Linked DNA regions of Ovis aries. The protein of the gene in region 2 interacts with the protein of the main gene of each other region in a biochemical or structural test. Links are inferred from orthologs where the notes say so. Each region holds a gene or a part of one and is shown on either strand. Other genes may lie near its edges.

Region 1 (6,029 bases), on a different chromosome or scaffold from region 2:
CTTAAACTAATGGTGTCTTCCATTTGTATAACTTTCTGATGATTATAAAATGCTTTTCCCTATAACCTGGTGAGGAAGTTGAAGAGATATTATTAATATTACTCTCAAATTCTAGCTGAAGAATTTGAGACTCAGGCCCTCCCAAATATAAAGTATTTTCTGACAGAGCAGGAAACGGAATCCATTATTTTTTTTGCTTTTAATTTTGAGATTCTTCAGCTAGTATGGATTCTAATAGCCAGCAATCTTATTCCTGCCGCCACTGTTCAACGCAAATGAAGGTTTTCTGAAATTGGTAAACTGAAAAGCAGTTGGTGATCAACAGCCCAAAAGGAGACTAGGGAGAAAGGACTCACAGAACTCTCAAACGTCACTAAGAAATCCCTTTGGGTGTTACTTCTTACCGGAATCCCCCCATTTTAAATCACTGTCGTCTTGGAAATGATCATTCAGATGAAAACAGTTCCCAGCGTCCAGATTTATGTAAACCCAGACACATACAAACACAGCAACTCATACCCTGATTCACACTCTCACATTTTAAATTCACCAAAGCTGACAGTGTTTTTAGAAATGTCTGGCTCTGCTTGGCTTCTGCTCCCCTTTAGCAAACACTAGACATGAGGATTTAGCAGTTAGTGTGATAGCCCCTTCCCAGGTTTTACACTTCCCTCCCTTCGCTCCAGGTGGATGACAGGAACGTGTGGGGTCCAGCCGTCACCAACTGTGGGGATGCCCAAAGTGAATAACTGCAATGCAGGCCCTTCCAAGCTCCTTTCCTCCCCAACTGATTTCCTGTGTGCCTGTCCATGCTCAGTCACTTCAGCTGTGTCTACCTCTTTGTGACCCCATGGACTGTAGCCTGCCAGGCTCCTCTGTCCATAGAGTTATCCCAGGCAAGAACACTGGAGCCGGCTGCCAGTTCCTCCCCCAGGGGAATCTTCCCAACCGAGGGATCGAACCTGCGGCTCCTGCATTGGCAGGTGGATTCTTTACTGGTGGCATATAAAAGCCTGTTTCCATTTCTATTAATGAAAAGGGGCCTCTGATAGCATTTTCTCAGATTTACTTTCTAGTCCCGATCTCTGGCAATATGATAGAACAGCATTCAGAGCTCTTTCCTGAGGCAAAGTATAATTGCATTTGCTTCTACCTCCTAGTCCTTTATCTAGATGAGCTCCTGAAAGTAGGAAAATGCTGTCACTGAAATAAATGGCTATAATGGGTTTCTGGCTCAGCCTTTTACTTTGAACATCATCTTGGAACTTGAGTTTTGTTTTGGGGAATGAGGGACATGAGCTTACTATTTTAGGGCTAGGACCCGCTGGATTTGTTATCAGGGATTTGGTCTTTCCTCCAAAGTACCCACCATAGTGGTTCTCAGCAGTGGCTGAACATCACCCTGGCCTGGAGACTTCATAAAAAAATATACATACTACCTGGATCTACTGAATCGGGGGTTGAAGTGGAACCCTTGCACTTTAACAGTGCATCACAGGCATCCCTGATACATAGCCAGATTAATACTAGAAATACTGTGTTAGTTGAATTTGACTGTTGAACAATAACAACAGGTTGGAATTCTTTTTAAAAAAGTTTATTTTTGGCTGTGCTGAGTGTTCGATGCTGCACTGAGTGTTTGTTGCTGCACCTGGCCTTTTCTCTAGTTGCAGCAAATGGGGGCTGCTCTCCAGTCACGAGTGCACAGCTTCTCGATGCGGTGGCTTCTCTTGTTGCCCAGCACTGGCTCTAGGAAAGCCGGCTTGGTGATTGCGGTGAACCAAGCTTGCCCTGAGGCATGTGGGATCCTAGCTTCCAAACCAGGGGTGGAACCCATGTCCCCTGCATTGGCAGGCAGATTCTTAACCACTGGACAACCAGGGAAGTCCCTAGGCTGGAATTCCTGTGTTGCCTTATAATATGTTTCTCTAGCTTGTAAGATCCACTTTACAATGTACTTTGAGCCAAGGGAGAAGATAATTAATTCTTCAGAGAATGTAAATATGCATACACTGATGACGATGGTGATGGTGAAAGTCGCTCAGTTGACTCTTTGTGACCCCCCATGGACTGTAGCCCACCAGGCTCCTCTGTCCATGAAATTCTCCAGGCCAGAATATTGGAGTGGGTATCCGTTCCCTTCTCCAGGGGATCTTCCCAATGCAGGGATGGACCCAGGTCTCCTGCATTGCAGGCAGATTCTTTATCGTCTGAGCCACCAGGGAAGCCCTGATATATTGATATGGGTACATACTAAGGCAAACTTTAAGTAACAAAAAAAATGTCATTAAAAAGTGAGAAAACAATTTTTATCTGGAGAGGAGTACTATCAGTGGTACTTTCAAGTCAGGAAGGAAGGCTTTCTGGGGTTAGAGTGTACAAGATGTTTAAGGTCACTGGCTTTTGTTTGACTCCATTTGGCTTGGTATGAGGCTAGGCCTTCTGCTCAAGAGCACGGGGGTATGATTCTCACCTCCTCCTATTAGTCAGGATTTAAAGATTGCAGAGCAGGGCTGGGAGCAGTTTGGTATGGGGAAAAAGGAGCCATTTGGAAGGAAGATGATAAAAACTTGGACTCTGTTGTGTGAGGTTAAAAGGACTAGAAAGTCTTTGAAGGACTTGGAAGCCCTGCCTAAGAGCTTCATCAAAGGGACCTCAAGAGTCTCTGGGGGAGACAACCACAAGTACAGGGGGTCATCTGTACCGCTGCCTTCAGCTCTGCACTGGGACCTAAGATGTTTTTAGAGAACCGTGTTTTATCTCATATGATGTGCCTTTGGGACAAGGGTTGTGTGTGTGCGCATCTATATTTCTCACAAGCAATAATGTTACTTGTATAGGAAGTCCCCATGAACCTTCAAGTTGTGAACTTTCAAAGATGCGAATGTACGTTTGCATGTCCAGTCACGGAAGTTAGCTCACGTGTCTGGCGTACATTGTCACGTGTGTGCATTCTCTACAAGTGGAGCAGGAAATGGCAAGGAGGTTTTCTTTATCTGAGGAGTCACTGTTGGCTTTTGAGGCACAGGACCTGGACATAGAACAGTACACGCAGGAGCCAGCAGCCGTTCAGAATGCAGTGCAGTGCTACCGTGTCATCTCTGATGAGAACAAAGGAGCTATGACCCAGACATCACTGGGTCATTTTTATCAAGAGGGTTAGATAGAGCTGCATCCAGCAAAGAGCCAGAACCTGTGCTGTCAACACCAGGTGTGAGTGAAGCTGCGGCTCGCTCTCCGTTTCCCATTGCTGACGATCCTTCAGCTCTCCCATCTCCCACCTCCCCTCCCTCCTCCTCTAGTCAGTAACTCTTCTAGCCTGTTCACTCGATGCCAGCCCCTGTATGCCTGCTGTTGTACTGCACTACTGTGCTTTTCAAGTACTCTACTGTAAGGTTAAAGGTGTTTTCTTTATTTTTTGTGCTTATTTTTAATGTATTGTGTGAAAAGTATTATAAACCTATTACATTGCAGTACTGTATAGTCAATTGTAGGCTAACTTTGTTGGGTTTATGAACAAATTGAACTTATGAATGCACTCTCAGAACAGGACTCATCTGTATGTAGGGGACATACTGGATAGGCCCACTTGGTTATGGGGGATCTATGGTTAACCTGAATACTGGAACCAGAGTCTTCCCTGCCATTCTGCTGGGGCTGTGAAGTCTTTAACTTCTGAGGGGCGGGTGTTAGGAAACGGTCTGCCTTCTGACTATTTGGAACCGTCTCAATTCAGTGTAGGATGTCCCTGCTCATAAATGTAGGTCTATTTCCTTTCCCGACATATTTATTGAATGAAATTAAATAAATGAAGAATGAAAATTCCCCTCTCCCCGTAATTGTAAGACAGTTTTTCACTAATCTTGCAATAAGACAACTCCAAATTTTTGAATTTGGCCCCACTTATTTCTGAGCCCCACTTAATCTCATTATAGTGGTATACTATATTTATATAGTATACATGTATACTATATATGTATAGTATATACATAGTATTATACAGATAATAGTATACATATTGTATGTTGTTGTTTAGTCATTAAGTCGTGTTTGACTCTTTTGCAACCCCATGGACTATAGCCTGCCAGACTCCTCTGTCCATGGGATTTCCCAGGCAAGAATACTGGAGTCGGGTTGCCATTTCCTTCTCCAGGGGATCTTCCTGACCCAGGAATCAAACCCGCATCCTGTTTGGCAGGCAGATCTTTATCACTGAGTTACCTGGGAAGTCCCATATATACTGTATATACTATATACATTATTTTACTTGGATATGTAAAAATGTGTATATGTATACACACTTATGCAAGTAAAATAATTTGATAAATTGTAAAAATGTAATTCAAAACTTTTTTGAAGTGATTGCATTCAACTTAGCTTCTTAATTAAGAGGTATTAGCTGATTAAGCAATGCAATACTATCCAGTCTATAATTTCTTTTAAAGTTTAGCCCCTTTCAATGATTTGATAAAAAGTATGGATCCTCACCCCACCAAAATGCTTATGTCTCTGGATACACAAATGAAGAAATTATAGCTCCTTGCATGGGCTGGTTTTGAGGAAGAAAGCCAGGATTTGGTGAGAATCAAAGGTAGCTTTATTTTTTAGGGAGCACTAATCATTAGTGAAAGGGAGCAGTCAATGGATATATCTGCAGAGCAGCTGCCCAGAGGAGAGAGCAACCTGGCCTCTGAACACCAGGAAAACAGGAAAGATGTTGAGGTAGTGCTGGCATGATGCAGAGAAGATAGTGATGGGCTCCTCATGTAGTAGAACCCAGGGTGCCCAGATATACAAAGTCAGTATGCGAGTGTCAGGCAGAAACTTGCATCTGGAAAGGCAACGTTCTTTAGGACTTTACTGGCATGACTCCTGGTGCTTGAAAGGATTTTGTTTTGGAGGAGCCTGAAAAGAGTACGAAGGCCTAGCCTGGTGGCTCAGTGGTAAAGAATCTGCTTGCCAAGCAGGAGGTGCTGGTTCCATTCCTGGGTCAGGAAGATCCTCTGGAGAAGGAAATGGCAACCTATGCCAGTATTCTTGCCTGAGAAATCCTGTGGACAGAGGAGCCTGGCGGACTCGCCAGGGATCGCGAGTCAGATGCAACTTAGCCACTAAACAGCAGCAAAAAGAATAGGAGAAAGAAACAGGTCCTCTCTTGTCCATGGCTAATGTGCTGAGAAAGCAAAACAAAACTGAGGCTACTACTGACCATGGGCTAATTGCTATCTGGATTTGTAGGAGTTAGATTTCCCTGAGGAGAATGAGAATAAAAGTGAAGGGCAGGGCACTGAGCATTCAGATATAAGCCAGGGAGGAATGCGTGCTTTAAATTTTCCATTTCTTATTTTTTAGAGTTGGGGAATGCTGGGTTTGGAGAGGTGGAAAGGGGACAGGCAGGGAGTTCATTGTTTTCTGCAAGAGGACAAGAAAATCAGACGTTTTCTGGGAGAAGATACAGTAACAATAATAAAAATCACAATACTATTTAAAACACAACTGTTTTACAAAAAAGTGAACAAGATACCAAACACTAAGAAGGAATTTTCTCATTATGTTCTTATAAGAACACCATAACAATGGCGTATTACTCTTTCTATTTTACTTATGTGGAAACCGAGCTTCAGAGAGATTAAGCAATTGCCCAAGTGATCAATTTAGGGCTTAAAACCAGACATGTCTAACTATAGAGTCCACTAGGCTTCTTAATAAAAACTAAAATGGAATTGTATGAAATAAGACTCATGGGAACGACTATCCTGCAGGCAGTGGTGTTGGGAGGTTGCCCATAGATACACACACTGACATGGACTAAAGCAGAAGTGAAGAAATACATGAGCGGATGCCAAGGGGAGCTGGGCAGGATCAAGTTAATGGGCTGTAACAATGCCACAATTTTGCTGAGAAAAGAGACCTGCACATCGTAAAATGCCTATATCCTCTTCATCCCTCATCATTTTCTTCCACCTTGCCTCTTTCCATTTGATTTTTTTTCTCTGATCCAGACCGCCCTTCTTGCCCTTTCTTTTCCT
Region 2 (5,507 bases):
GGGAGCATGCCTGTCAATTCTGCCATGTTAAAAATGTCATTTAAAATATCTAAGCAGATTGCTATGTATTTTTTCTGAGGGTAAGGAAACAATTCTGCATTTCTAACTGCTGTTACTGTTATTAGATGAATGAGGCAATTTCTGATGAGATATTTACCCAAATGATATTTATATCAAAATATTTAAAATAAGATCAAATTCAACTTTAGGATATTAACAATTAGACCAGCCAAGTATATGGAAATTGACTTTTGCTGAAAAATCAGAATGAGGAATATTGCATTATTCTGCATGTATGTTTAGCTCTGATGATGTTAAATGTTTGTCTTTATTTGTATCCTCAGGTACTTTCCCAGTTGTATTTCAACACTTTCATAAAATATAATAGGAAAACATAATGCATGTCATTATTTTAGCAACAGGAAGTTGAACAAATGCATTTTTTGGCTTATATTTCTAATAAAAAGTAATTTTGATTTAAATTAGCACTATCTTTTTTTTTAGGCCTCCATTCCTTTGAAGGAATTGGAGCAGTTTAACTCAGATATACAAAAATTGCTTGAACCACTGGAGGCTGAAATTCAGCAGGGGGTGAATCTGAAAGAGGAAGACTTCAATAAAGATATGGTAAATTGGTTGTGATAAAAGTGTGAATGAACTAGGAATGAAATGAATAAATATTTCAAAGGAAATTAGATAATTCAAGTCTCCAACTAAATTCTCAGAGCATACCTTGTACATTTTGTGATTCTAATGATTTATTACAAATGCAAAGTATTGTTATTGAACTGTTTTGAATGCCAAATTACTATGATATGGGCATACAGGAGTACTTACAGATTCTAATAAATCACTCAACAATGTTTTGTCCATACTCAAAGGACAAAATGTAATGGATGGAAAAAAAAAGTCAAATCAGAAAATGAATTAGAAACTTAATAATAATAATAATAATAAGGCACAGCCATCAGAGAGGGCTGATATTTTGCTTCAGTCCTATTTTTGGTAATATAACATTTATTTTGGATAAGGGACAATTATACATGATATAAACATTGTTTATTAAAACTTAACACAATGTAGTTTTACAAAAAAGTTTAACAAGTATTATAGTATATATCTAAAATATGTGTAAATTCATGCTGCTTATTTCATGGGAAAAAAGAAATATAACCATGTGGGTTATTCCCAGACTCATTTCAACATGTCTTTTATGTTTCTCTCTGGCTTGAATGTTTCTGCCTCACATTCCTTTTCACTGACTTATTCTTTCTCCTTACTCCTCTTCACTCCTCTCCTTTCCCCTCTCCACAACCATCACCTATATGGCATTATTAACCTTTACATATGTCATGCTAGAGATTTCTCAGACATGTATCAGTGCTAGAGACTTCTCAGACAGTGCTTGAAAATGATATCAGAAGGTAAATTATAAGTTGTAAATAATAGGCACATGAAGCAATAGGAGAACCAGTTTTACCAACCTCAGTTCTCGTTGGTATCATGTCTGATTTCCTGGAGCTGCCTAACTCAGTACTCCCTGTGTATGGGTTTGATGATCTTGCCAATTCAGCTCATGGAAAGAAAGACCAGACACACCTTTTTCTAAGATACCGAGCTACAACTACCTCTTATTCATGTCAAAGAAGAAACCAGAGGGCACCAAGTTGGAAAAGAATGCTTCTTACCTCTTGGGCTGTTCACCAACTATGCCCTCTAGCTCTCAGCTGGTGTGGGGAAAGAAGTGCAGTAGGGGTTTTGTTTGTTCATTATTTTTATCCTCAGCCCCAGGAAATGTTTCAGATTTTTAAGGACATATTCTTAAAAGGAAGGTTTTTCAAAGACTGTAAACATAAGTGTCTATTACACTATTTCATTAGACAAATAACTGGCACATCTCAGATGAAAATCTCATTTCCTTAAAAAAATTGAATAGTTTCTCAGTTGTGTATAGAAGTTAACATATGCATTAGAGATTTAAGTATGCAACATTGAATGCCATGGATGATTATAAACACAAACATGTCGCATTTAAAAATTGTCTGCTTCTCTTAATTCATCAGAGTATCTTGGGTACTATTAAAAAGCAAACCTTCTTGATAGAAAGTATATATATATTGCATTGAAAGAAAAGATAGGAAATAGAAGTGAAACATCCAATGGTTACATATGCTACTCTATTGGACCAACACTGTTTAAATAATTCTATTTCAAAATAAATAAAATAAAAATAATTTTCTTAGAGTCTAAAGACCAAACTGCATATTAAAAATATTTAAAGTCATTTTTCTAATCCATATTTAATATTAATTGTATTTATTTAAAAATAATGCATATGTGACATATTTTTAGAAATTATCTGCAATATTTGACAGCAGTTGAGCATGTTTTTTTTTTTTCCTAAAGCTCCAAATCATTTAGTTTAAGTAAAAAAAAAGAAAGAAAGTTGCTCAGTCGTCTTTGCGACCCCACGGACTGTAGCCTACCAGGCTCCTACATCCATGGGATTTTCCAGGCAAGAGTACTGGAGTGGGATGCCATTTCCTTCTCCAGGGGATCTTCCCGACTCAGGGATTGAAACCAGGTCTCCCGCATTGCAGACAGACGTTTTACCATCTGAGCCACCAGGGAAGCTAGTTTATGTAAAACAGAACTTATTATATAGAAATCAGTGTACACTTAAAACAGTGTATTTTCACTTAGGAGTGTGTGTTAAAATTTAAAATTTTACAGTCTCACATTCACAGAGCCACATCTATATTCCTCTGTGAAATAACATTATATGTAACAAGTTTTGTTTTCTTCTCCAAAGTTTTTTTTTTTGTTTTAATTTCTAGAAATGCATTAAAAATCAAAGGCCAAAGAATGCTTTCATAACAATTCACTTGTCTGAAATGATGTAGTAAATTGCTCCCCCATCTTTCTACATACAACTCTAATCAGATGTGTCCTTTTGAAATAGACAGGAGGAAACTTCTTTTAAAAGTTAAAGTATAGCATATTAAAAAAGAAACTCTGAGTGCAGTATCTTAGGATAGCATTCCCTGAAAGTTTTAAATTGGAGTTTTTGTATGTGTTTTAATAACATGTTTTATTATCTCTGTTAAAGATGTACAGCTTTTTTTAAACCAAAATGAAGACTGTACTTGTTGTTTTTAATCAGAGTGAAGACAATGAGGGTACTGTAAAAGAATTGTTGCAAAGAGGAGACAACTTACAACAAAGAATCACAGATGAGAGAAAGCGAGAGGAAATAAAGATAAAACAGCAGCTGTTACAGACAAAACATAATGCTCTCAAGGTATTAGAGCTAAAATTATAATATACCTTGCCTGTGTTTTTTTTTTTTCATGTACAGGGTAAAATCTATTGTTCATAAATAAAATTTGCTTAAGAATCTTAGTCACCAGAAATACATATTTTTTTTTCTGTTCAGTGTCTGTGTTTTAACAATTTTGAGTGCTGTCTTTGATTTTGAAAGATGTGCTGCTTAAAAATTTCAAGGTATTTACTTAGACACATTTTTCTGAGTAGTAATCAAAAGATATTAAATGCATCATTCATTTGTTCATATATTTAATTTTGTAATACAACCTATTTTGTAAGTTATTTTGACATGTGTCTTGAAAAACCTGTTTAACTGTCAGCGTAACCAATTTGTATATTTTTGAGGTTTTCTGCTCTTGATATTTTCTTGATTTAATTCAGAGTAGGTTCACTTTTTGGGGTAACCTAACATTTGTTTAATAGTTCATTTTTTTTTTCAGTTAACTTCATTTTGCCTTTAAGAGAGTTACTCTTTGCAACTAACTAAACATTTAGAAGTCTAATTTCATTTATATAGGAGTCCTCTAAAATAATCTTAATGTCCATGAGAAAGAACCGGTGCTCTCATTTTAACCAGCATTAGTATAGAGCTTCAAGTACCCATGTGTCTCATCTGGAATTGCACAGGAAAGACAGAATAGAATATTGGTGTTTATATAATATCTAGAAAGTTCTTGAGAAGAGATGGGACATGTGAAAGATTCTGTGAAATAACCTTTTATTTTTTAATGTGCTTTTCAATATTCACTATTTGCATGCATGGCTGATTTTCTAATACTGTTAATTGCTGAGTTTTTCATTGTAAATCACTCTTTTAGAGCTGTGTAGCCACGTAGGTGGATCCACCTTATAGGTGAATAGACTCTGCTTTCTATATGCAAATAAGAGTATAAAACCTTTTCCCATATAGTCAGACAACCAAATAAACACTGCTGAGAATGTAATTACACAATATTGTGCCTGCAAGGAATCCACAAGGAAAGTCTAATTGGCCAGCAGGTGTTCTGAAGGTAACTGCTGATAAATATAGGAAATAGAAAAGGCCTCTTCCCTGAGGGAGTACAAGAGCAAGCCATAATGTGCTCAGAAAATCAGAAAGCTGTGTAATTCACATGCTTCCAACTGTGACCAAGCTTTTAGAAACATCTACACTGGTCGTATGATGATATGTGTCCTACTGAACAGCAGTGTTTAATGGTTATCTGGCATACCTGTAAAGAAATATCTATAATATCTCTTAATATCTTTACACATTACACACCACCTTGTGCTTAGGAAATAAAAATAATTTCAGATTTGGTGACCACAAGCCCTTTCTCTTGGCGAAGATGTAAGTTGCGTCACCAGTAAGGCATGGCTCAACTCTCTTTCACGTGGCTGTATCTTGGTACCTTTGAAAAAAGCAGCATTCCATCTGGCTCATCCCAGGCATTTATTACTTCCATAGGAGGTTTAGAAATTCAACTGAAAATGTAAACTGTAGAAAATTTTACATCCCCAATTTTAAACAAAATGCAGAATGAAATCAAAATCATTTTTCTCAGATATATGTTAAAAGCAATTAATGAAAATCAACACTTGCCACACCAATATACTAAATTCAGTAGTTATTAATCTGCCAAGTGTTCAAGTCTAGTCCTTATGAAATATTTCAAAGAAGGTGAAACTTTCCAAAGCAGTGACTATTTCAGCAGTTCTTTGATATTCACTCTTTTCTTTTGCTCCAGTTATATCTATACATGAAACCCTAATTGCTACTACTCTGAAGAAATGGAAACTGTATCCTGAGCTCTTATGTTCCCTTATAAAACATGTAAAATATATTCCCTTGTAGAATAGCATTACAACAAATTCTGTTGATCAGGGAAGACATTGGATGATCTTGTAAGGAGTAAGATGATTAATTTTCCCCTTTTGTGATTCATTAAAGTAGTCACCCTTATTTGTCTCATCAGGTTGATTGAAACCTGTGCACTTTTCCTTTTCTAAATTTTATCATTTTGCATTTGGGTTTGATGCCAATGAGCAAGTTTGCCATACAAGTCAAAAAGGAAAATAATTTTTATGATATTTAAATTGTCATTTTCATGCATACTCACAGGCGTACACTTTTCGCACTTGAACATATATATATAGCTTGAAGCAATTTCTGTGATAACTAAGAACACTCTATGTTTCTA
Region 3 (5,966 bases), on a different chromosome or scaffold from region 2:
CCAGCAAGGCAGAAGTTATATCCCTGCCCTACCGATGAGAAAACTAAGGCTCAGGGAAATGAAGTGACTCATCCAAGGTCAAACAGCTAGGGAGTGGGAGAGAGGAAATGAAGTCCAGATCTGTCTGGCTCTGAAGCGGCTCTATCTCCACCACACCAATGTCTCAAGGCAGGTCTCCAAGTTCTGTTTCTGTTTTCAACCCTGCCCACCTCCCAGACTCCACTGCTTGAGGCCTGGGGGGTTGTAGGGAAGAACTGAACACCCCTGGGGTCCCCAGTGCTTACCCTCCAGCACCACCTCTTTGCCTGTCTTCTTCAGGACTTGCACCGCCTCGTCATGGGTGGCAGAGGAAAGGTCCTCCCCATTCACGGACAGGATGGCATCCCCCACAAAGAGGGCCTCCGTCTGGTCAGCTGCCAGGCCCTTGAAGATCTTGGAGATGAGAATAGGCATCTTGTTCTCTCGGCCCCCTGGACAAGCACAGAAAGAGGAAGAAATTGAGGCACACATTCCAACACTTGCAAGTCACAACAAGGCAAAATTATTTCTGAAGGTCTCCCACTGTGTCCAGCCCAGTACTGGGAAAGCAGGAGTGCGGGGCAAAGAGAATCTCAGAAAAGAGCCTTAGAAGTTTGGGGCACTAATAATACCTAAAAGGCATTTTCTAAATTTATAATGTTATAATGGATCTTTTGGTTAAGTGCTTTGGGTGGTCACCAGTGTTGGAAGAACTTACAAGATGCTTCAATAACTTCTTATTTTTTATTTTACGTGAGTTTCCCATAATGGGGGAACTCACTGATAACCTCTAATTGAGAATAAAGATAGAAGTCAGTTACTGCTATGGCCACAAAGCTGAAAGCTTCACAACCTAGGTCTCAGGCTAGAAACCAGGGCTTTAAAGTCTAGAGATTTCAAAAGCCTATCTGAATTGCATCTCTGATGCAAAAAGACAAAAAAAATCAAATATTAATACATTTTACCATATTGCTTTATTTATAAACTCTTGAATGTCCTTTAAAAATAATAAACATTGATAACAGTTCACATTAGTTCCACATACCAAGTGCCAAGCACCATGTTAAATGCTTTCAATCTTGTCTCATTGCATCTTCACAATACCCAATCACACAGGCATGTTCAGATTCCTATTGGGAAGGTTGAAGTGTGGAGACAAATCCGTTGTCCAAGGTCACCCAGCTAATTAGTGGCAAAGACAATATCTGAACCTAGGTCTCCTGGTTCCAGAACCAACACTCTTAACCCTCTGGTAGGCTGCAAGTCAGGCCCTCAGATACCACACTATTGCTCCATCCTCAAAGATGAGGAACAAGTGGACCAGGGAGAGGAGGTCATAATTTCAAGGTCACTCAACAGACTGGTAGCCGAAGTAGGACTGGAATGCCTCTCTGGACCCCCACATAGGCCCAGCAGTTTGCCCACTGCAGTGCACAGAGCTTGAAGCCTAGGAAAGGAAGGAGCTTCTGTTTAAACAGAGTTGGCCAAAGTGTTCATACGAGTTTTTCTATAAGATGATATGGAACACCCCAAATGAACTTTTTGGCCAACCCAGTATCTCTCTGCCCTCTTCCACCTGAAACTAGGGACTTCAAGTCAGTTTGAATCCATGGCCATTCCTCGATGCCTTGGGCTGGGCTGGACCCTAAAGGAAAGGTCAACACAGCAACAGGAGTCCAGTCTCCATACAAAAAGAATTGAATGGAGCTGGTATTACCCCTGACACCTCCTAAAAGTCCCTTTACCCCCACCTGGGAGTAAAGCTAGGGAATAACTTTATGTGACCTTGAAAAGTCCTCTTCCTCTCCAAGACTCAGTCTATCTGCAAAATGGAACGCTATCTGAACATTAAGTTCCTTCCTGCTTTAACACAGAGTGTACAATTTCTGCCTTGATCTGTTGCCCTAACCCACACTGGTGTTGAGGGCAAAACAGGTGTCCACTCCCTGGCTTTCTCATTACCCCCCTTTTAGATCCCTTTGGTTGGTTGCATGGAAGTTTGGAGTTTTTCCAAACTTTCCTCCATCTTTGAGGATGGAGCAATAGCGTGGTATCTGAGGGCCTGACTTGCAGCCTACCAGAGGGTTAAGAGTGTTGGTTCTGGAACCAGGAGACCTAGGTTCAGATATTGTCTTTCCTTTTCCTGGGGAAAAATCAACTTCTCTGAACACTCTTTAGTGGCTGGATAATTGAGGTTCAAATGCCAGCTCTGTCACTCATCGACTGTGTGATCCTAGGAAAATCATTTTACTTTTCCAAGTTTCAGTTTCCTCACCTGCTAAGTGAAGATTATACTTCCTATCTTTTGGTACTTGTTGCCAGGATGAAGTGGATCCTGAGCCTAGAGCACTGGGCATAGCGCTCGGCACACAATGGTACCCAAGTCACCACCATCCCCACCCCCTCGGGAAGGAATGGTGAACGCAGCGGCTGGGGTGTGCAGACTTTTCAGCACCAGGTTACTAACTTTGGGAGTCTTTCTTGACTTTCATTTTTCCTCTCATCTAACAGCAGTAACTATCTAGGCACCTATTATGTGTTGGCAGACTGAGTATTTTGGACACCTATTTTCGTAGAAACATCCCAATTCTATCATTACTCTCATTATATAGTTGAGGAAACTCAGGTCCAGAGATGGAAAAGGGCTTCCCAGGTGGCAATAGCGGTAAAGAACCCGCTTGCCAACGCAGCGGACATGAGAGATGTGGGTTTTATCCCTGGGTCGGGAAGATCCCCTGCAGGAGGAAATGGCAACCCAGTATCTTTGCCTGGAGAATCCCAAGGACAGAGGAGTCTACCAAGCTACAGTCCATGGGATCTTACCACACAAGTTCACACAGGTTGATTCTGGACTTCAGTCTGGGTGGCACCTTAAAGAAAGCTGTCAGTACTGGGGGCTGAAAGCCCATCTCAGTGCTGTGATGGTGGACACTTAAGACTCTTCACCTATACATACAGGTTTCCTAGGCGCTCAGATTTCCAGGTCCTTTGTGGCCCCCTGTCTGTGAGCCCAGCCCAGTTGGCACCTCCACCTAGTCGCCATCCCAGCAACGCTTCCCACTCCAGACCTTGCCCCTCCTTCCCTTCTGTTTTGACTGTCTCTTGAAGACTTCCTCCTCCTTTGCCTAGTAGCACCCCAGGCCTCAGTCTCCCTTCTCTATCCTTTGCTCTACTGGGGTCCCTCTTGTCCTTGATACCCATGCAACTCCTGAAAGGCAATCAGTGTCAGACCTCTTTGCCTCAGCACACAACTCCCCACCCACTTGTCCTTGGCGTGCCCCCAAAGCCGTCCACACCTGTGCCCTCTGAATGAGACCTCAAAGCCCTCTCTGACCTTGGTGCTCTGGTGCCCTCGGTTCTGTCCTCCCAGAAGCCGTCACCCCGGACAGAAGTCCACCAACTCCACGTCCTCAATACGCTGCCAGCCCCCGCGATCCCTGCGCCTTAGCGGTCCCACAGACACCAAGACCCGTGCCCTCGTTGCCCCCGCGCCCACCTTTGATGCTGATACCCAGCCCGCCGGCGTCGGCCTTGCGCACCGTCACGCGGCGCGGCTGGAGCAGCAGCGCCTCCGGCAGCGGCGGGGACGCGGCGCCCGGTTCGGCGGCGCCGTTGAGCTGCGCGGGCTCCGGCTCCCGCTGGGCACCGGGCTCAGGTCCGGGCTCGCCGTCGGCGGGGCTCACGGTCAGCGCGTCCTCCTCTAGACTGAGCAGCACCCGCTGCCACCGCTCGCCACCAGCCCCCGAGCCTGCCCCGGCGCGCAGTTCCAGCAGTCCGGTGCGCGGGGCGCGCCTGCCTGACGCCATCTTCGCCTCCGAGCCCCCGGGCCGCCGCGCTCGCCCTGCCCCCGCAGTGCCCGGCCAGCTCCGACCCAGCGCCCAGAGCTGAGGGCAGCGGGGGCCCAGCTGGGCCAGCCGCCACCCTACCCCAGGCCGCTGGGGGTGGAGCATCGGTGGGCGGGGCTGCATGTGGGTGTGGCTAACAGCGAGGGGCGTGGTCACCGGCAAGCCAGAAGGGGCTGTGACGGGTTCCAAGAGCCAGAGGATATACTGTGAGACTACATTACTTTGCCCACAAAGGTCCATATAGTCAAAACTATGGTTTTTCCAGTAATCACGTACAGATTTGAGAGTTGGACCATAAAGAAGGCTGAGCGCCGAAGAATTGATGCTTTCGAACTGTGGTGCTGGAGAAGACTCTTGACAGTCCCTTAAATAGCAAGGAGATCAAAACAGTCAGTCCTAAAGGAAATCAACCCTGAATATTCATTGGAAGGACTGATGCTGAAGCTGGAGCTCCAATACTTTGGCCACCCGATGCGAAGACCCGGCTCATTAGAAAAGACGCTGATGCTGGGAAAGATTGAGGGCAGGATGAGAGGGGACGACAGATGATGAGAGGGGACAACAGATGATGAGATGCTTGGATGGCATCACCGATTCGATGGACATGAGTCTGAGCGAAATCTGGGAGATGGTGATGGACAAGGAAGCCTGGCGTGCTTCAGTCCATGGGGTCACAAAGAGTCGGACACGACTGAGCGACTGATGACAACAACATGGGCATGGGGACATAAGGATGTCCGGATGGGACCCAAAGTTAAGGCAATGAGAGCGTGAAGTGGGGTGGGCGGGGCCCTGGGGGCCCGGCTTCGTGTCCCGGGCTGGACCCTAAGATCCTGTGCAGGAGACAGCCGGGCGAAGCCGTCGAGGGCCGAGGCCGTAGCTCGCAGCCGTGGGATCACGAGAAAAAGATACAGAACCGTGGATCGTGGTGCGAGGCTTTGAACTTGGGTGTGGGGCTGCATATGGCAGAGCGCTGGACTGCAGGGACAGGGCTTGAGTTTAAGAGGCAGACATCGAGCTGCAAGGGACTTCGCAGGCGGGCGTATAGTGCAGGAGATTTGCGGGTTTCCGCCTGTGGGGCGGGAACTTCGGTCTGTGGGTATGGCTTAGTGTGGGGTGCGGTGTCTAACGCTGACAGGCCCCGCCCTCTGGGATAAGCGCGATGCTGGCTGTTGAGGGATTGGGCAAGGCGTAACACTCCCCGCGTTGAAACTGGAAAGGAGTTGAAGAGATTAACCCCCTGTTCTTCACAGTCGAATACAGAAAAGCCTGAATTCCACACTGGACAGAGAAGAACCCAGAACTCCTGGTGTTGGGGAAGACGGCTGGAAGGTGGGGCTTCTGGATCTGGACCTCTGGAGACCTGTTTTTTAACCCTGTTCAGAAACTGTGAGCTCCATATCGACCTTGGTCCTGGCACTACAGTTCTCTAGGCCTCAATTACCTCATCTGTGAAATGGGGGTCCTAATAACCCCTATAACCCTCACAGGGACTGTGTCAGGATTAAATCAGTGGGAAAATATATTTTACTCTGTGAATCTTATGCAATCAATATAATCACTTTGTTTTTTATTGAATCCAATTTTATTTATTTGTTGAGTTGGCCAGGCCTAGATCTGAGCATTTTCATGTGTTTTCTTAGCTTTACAGTAGCCTCGTGAAGTAGCTACAGTTAAGAATACTTCCGTTATACCGAAAGGAAAATTTTGATTCAGAAGATCTAATTGGCCCAGTTCACACATTTGTGAGTAGGACAGAGCTGGGATTCAAACCTAGTCTTGTCTCATACCAGTGCCTGGGCACTGACCCTGGGCACTAGACAGATGAGGTGTGATCATTACCAGAAAAAACACACTACCTCACAGACCTCAACCAGCCCTCATATCTACTCTGTTTCCATCTTCCACTCCTACCTGGGATGCTGTTGGACCATAAATAGGGCCACATCAGTGTATAGATTCCCTGCAAGTAGAATCTTCCACATAAAATACTATCAAGGGGAAGAAAAAAAAGCTCACAAGAAAACAGGTGCAGTGGTACAGAGGAGCCTGTTTTCAGGGCAGGAATAGAGACCCAGACAGAGAGAAGAGACGTGAGGACAC

What was found. The genes of interacting proteins can lie anywhere in the genome.
Region 1: the proteins of DMD (region 2) and DTNA form a complex in vitro, tested with the Homo sapiens proteins (3 studies listed by BioGRID and IntAct, with this or other methods). The link is inferred for Ovis aries from reciprocal best matches to the Homo sapiens genes DMD and DTNA.
Region 3: the proteins of DMD (region 2) and SNTA1 form a complex in vitro, tested with the Homo sapiens proteins (2 studies listed by BioGRID, with this or other methods). The link is inferred for Ovis aries from reciprocal best matches to the Homo sapiens genes DMD and SNTA1.

What each region holds. Positions count from the first base shown.
Region 1 is NC_056076.1:22,643,313-22,649,341, forward strand, and holds the start of DTNA (dystrobrevin alpha), read right to left. Parts: upstream 3,914-6,029; 5' UTR 1-3,913. UniProt on the Homo sapiens protein: May be involved in the formation and stability of synapses as well as being involved in the clustering of nicotinic acetylcholine receptors.
Region 2 is NC_056080.1:31,680,049-31,685,555, reverse strand, and holds part of DMD (dystrophin), read left to right. Parts: intron 1-504; coding exon 505-627; intron 628-3,163; coding exon 3,164-3,301; intron 3,302-5,507. UniProt on the Homo sapiens protein: Anchors the extracellular matrix to the cytoskeleton via F-actin. Ligand for dystroglycan.
Region 3 is NC_056066.1:62,923,456-62,929,421, forward strand, and holds the start of SNTA1 (alpha-1-syntrophin), read right to left. Parts: upstream 3,914-5,966; 5' UTR 3,825-3,913; coding exon 3,515-3,824; intron 471-3,514; coding exon 285-470; intron 1-284. UniProt on the Homo sapiens protein: Adapter protein that binds to and probably organizes the subcellular localization of a variety of membrane proteins. May link various receptors to the actin cytoskeleton and the extracellular matrix via the dystrophin glycoprotein complex.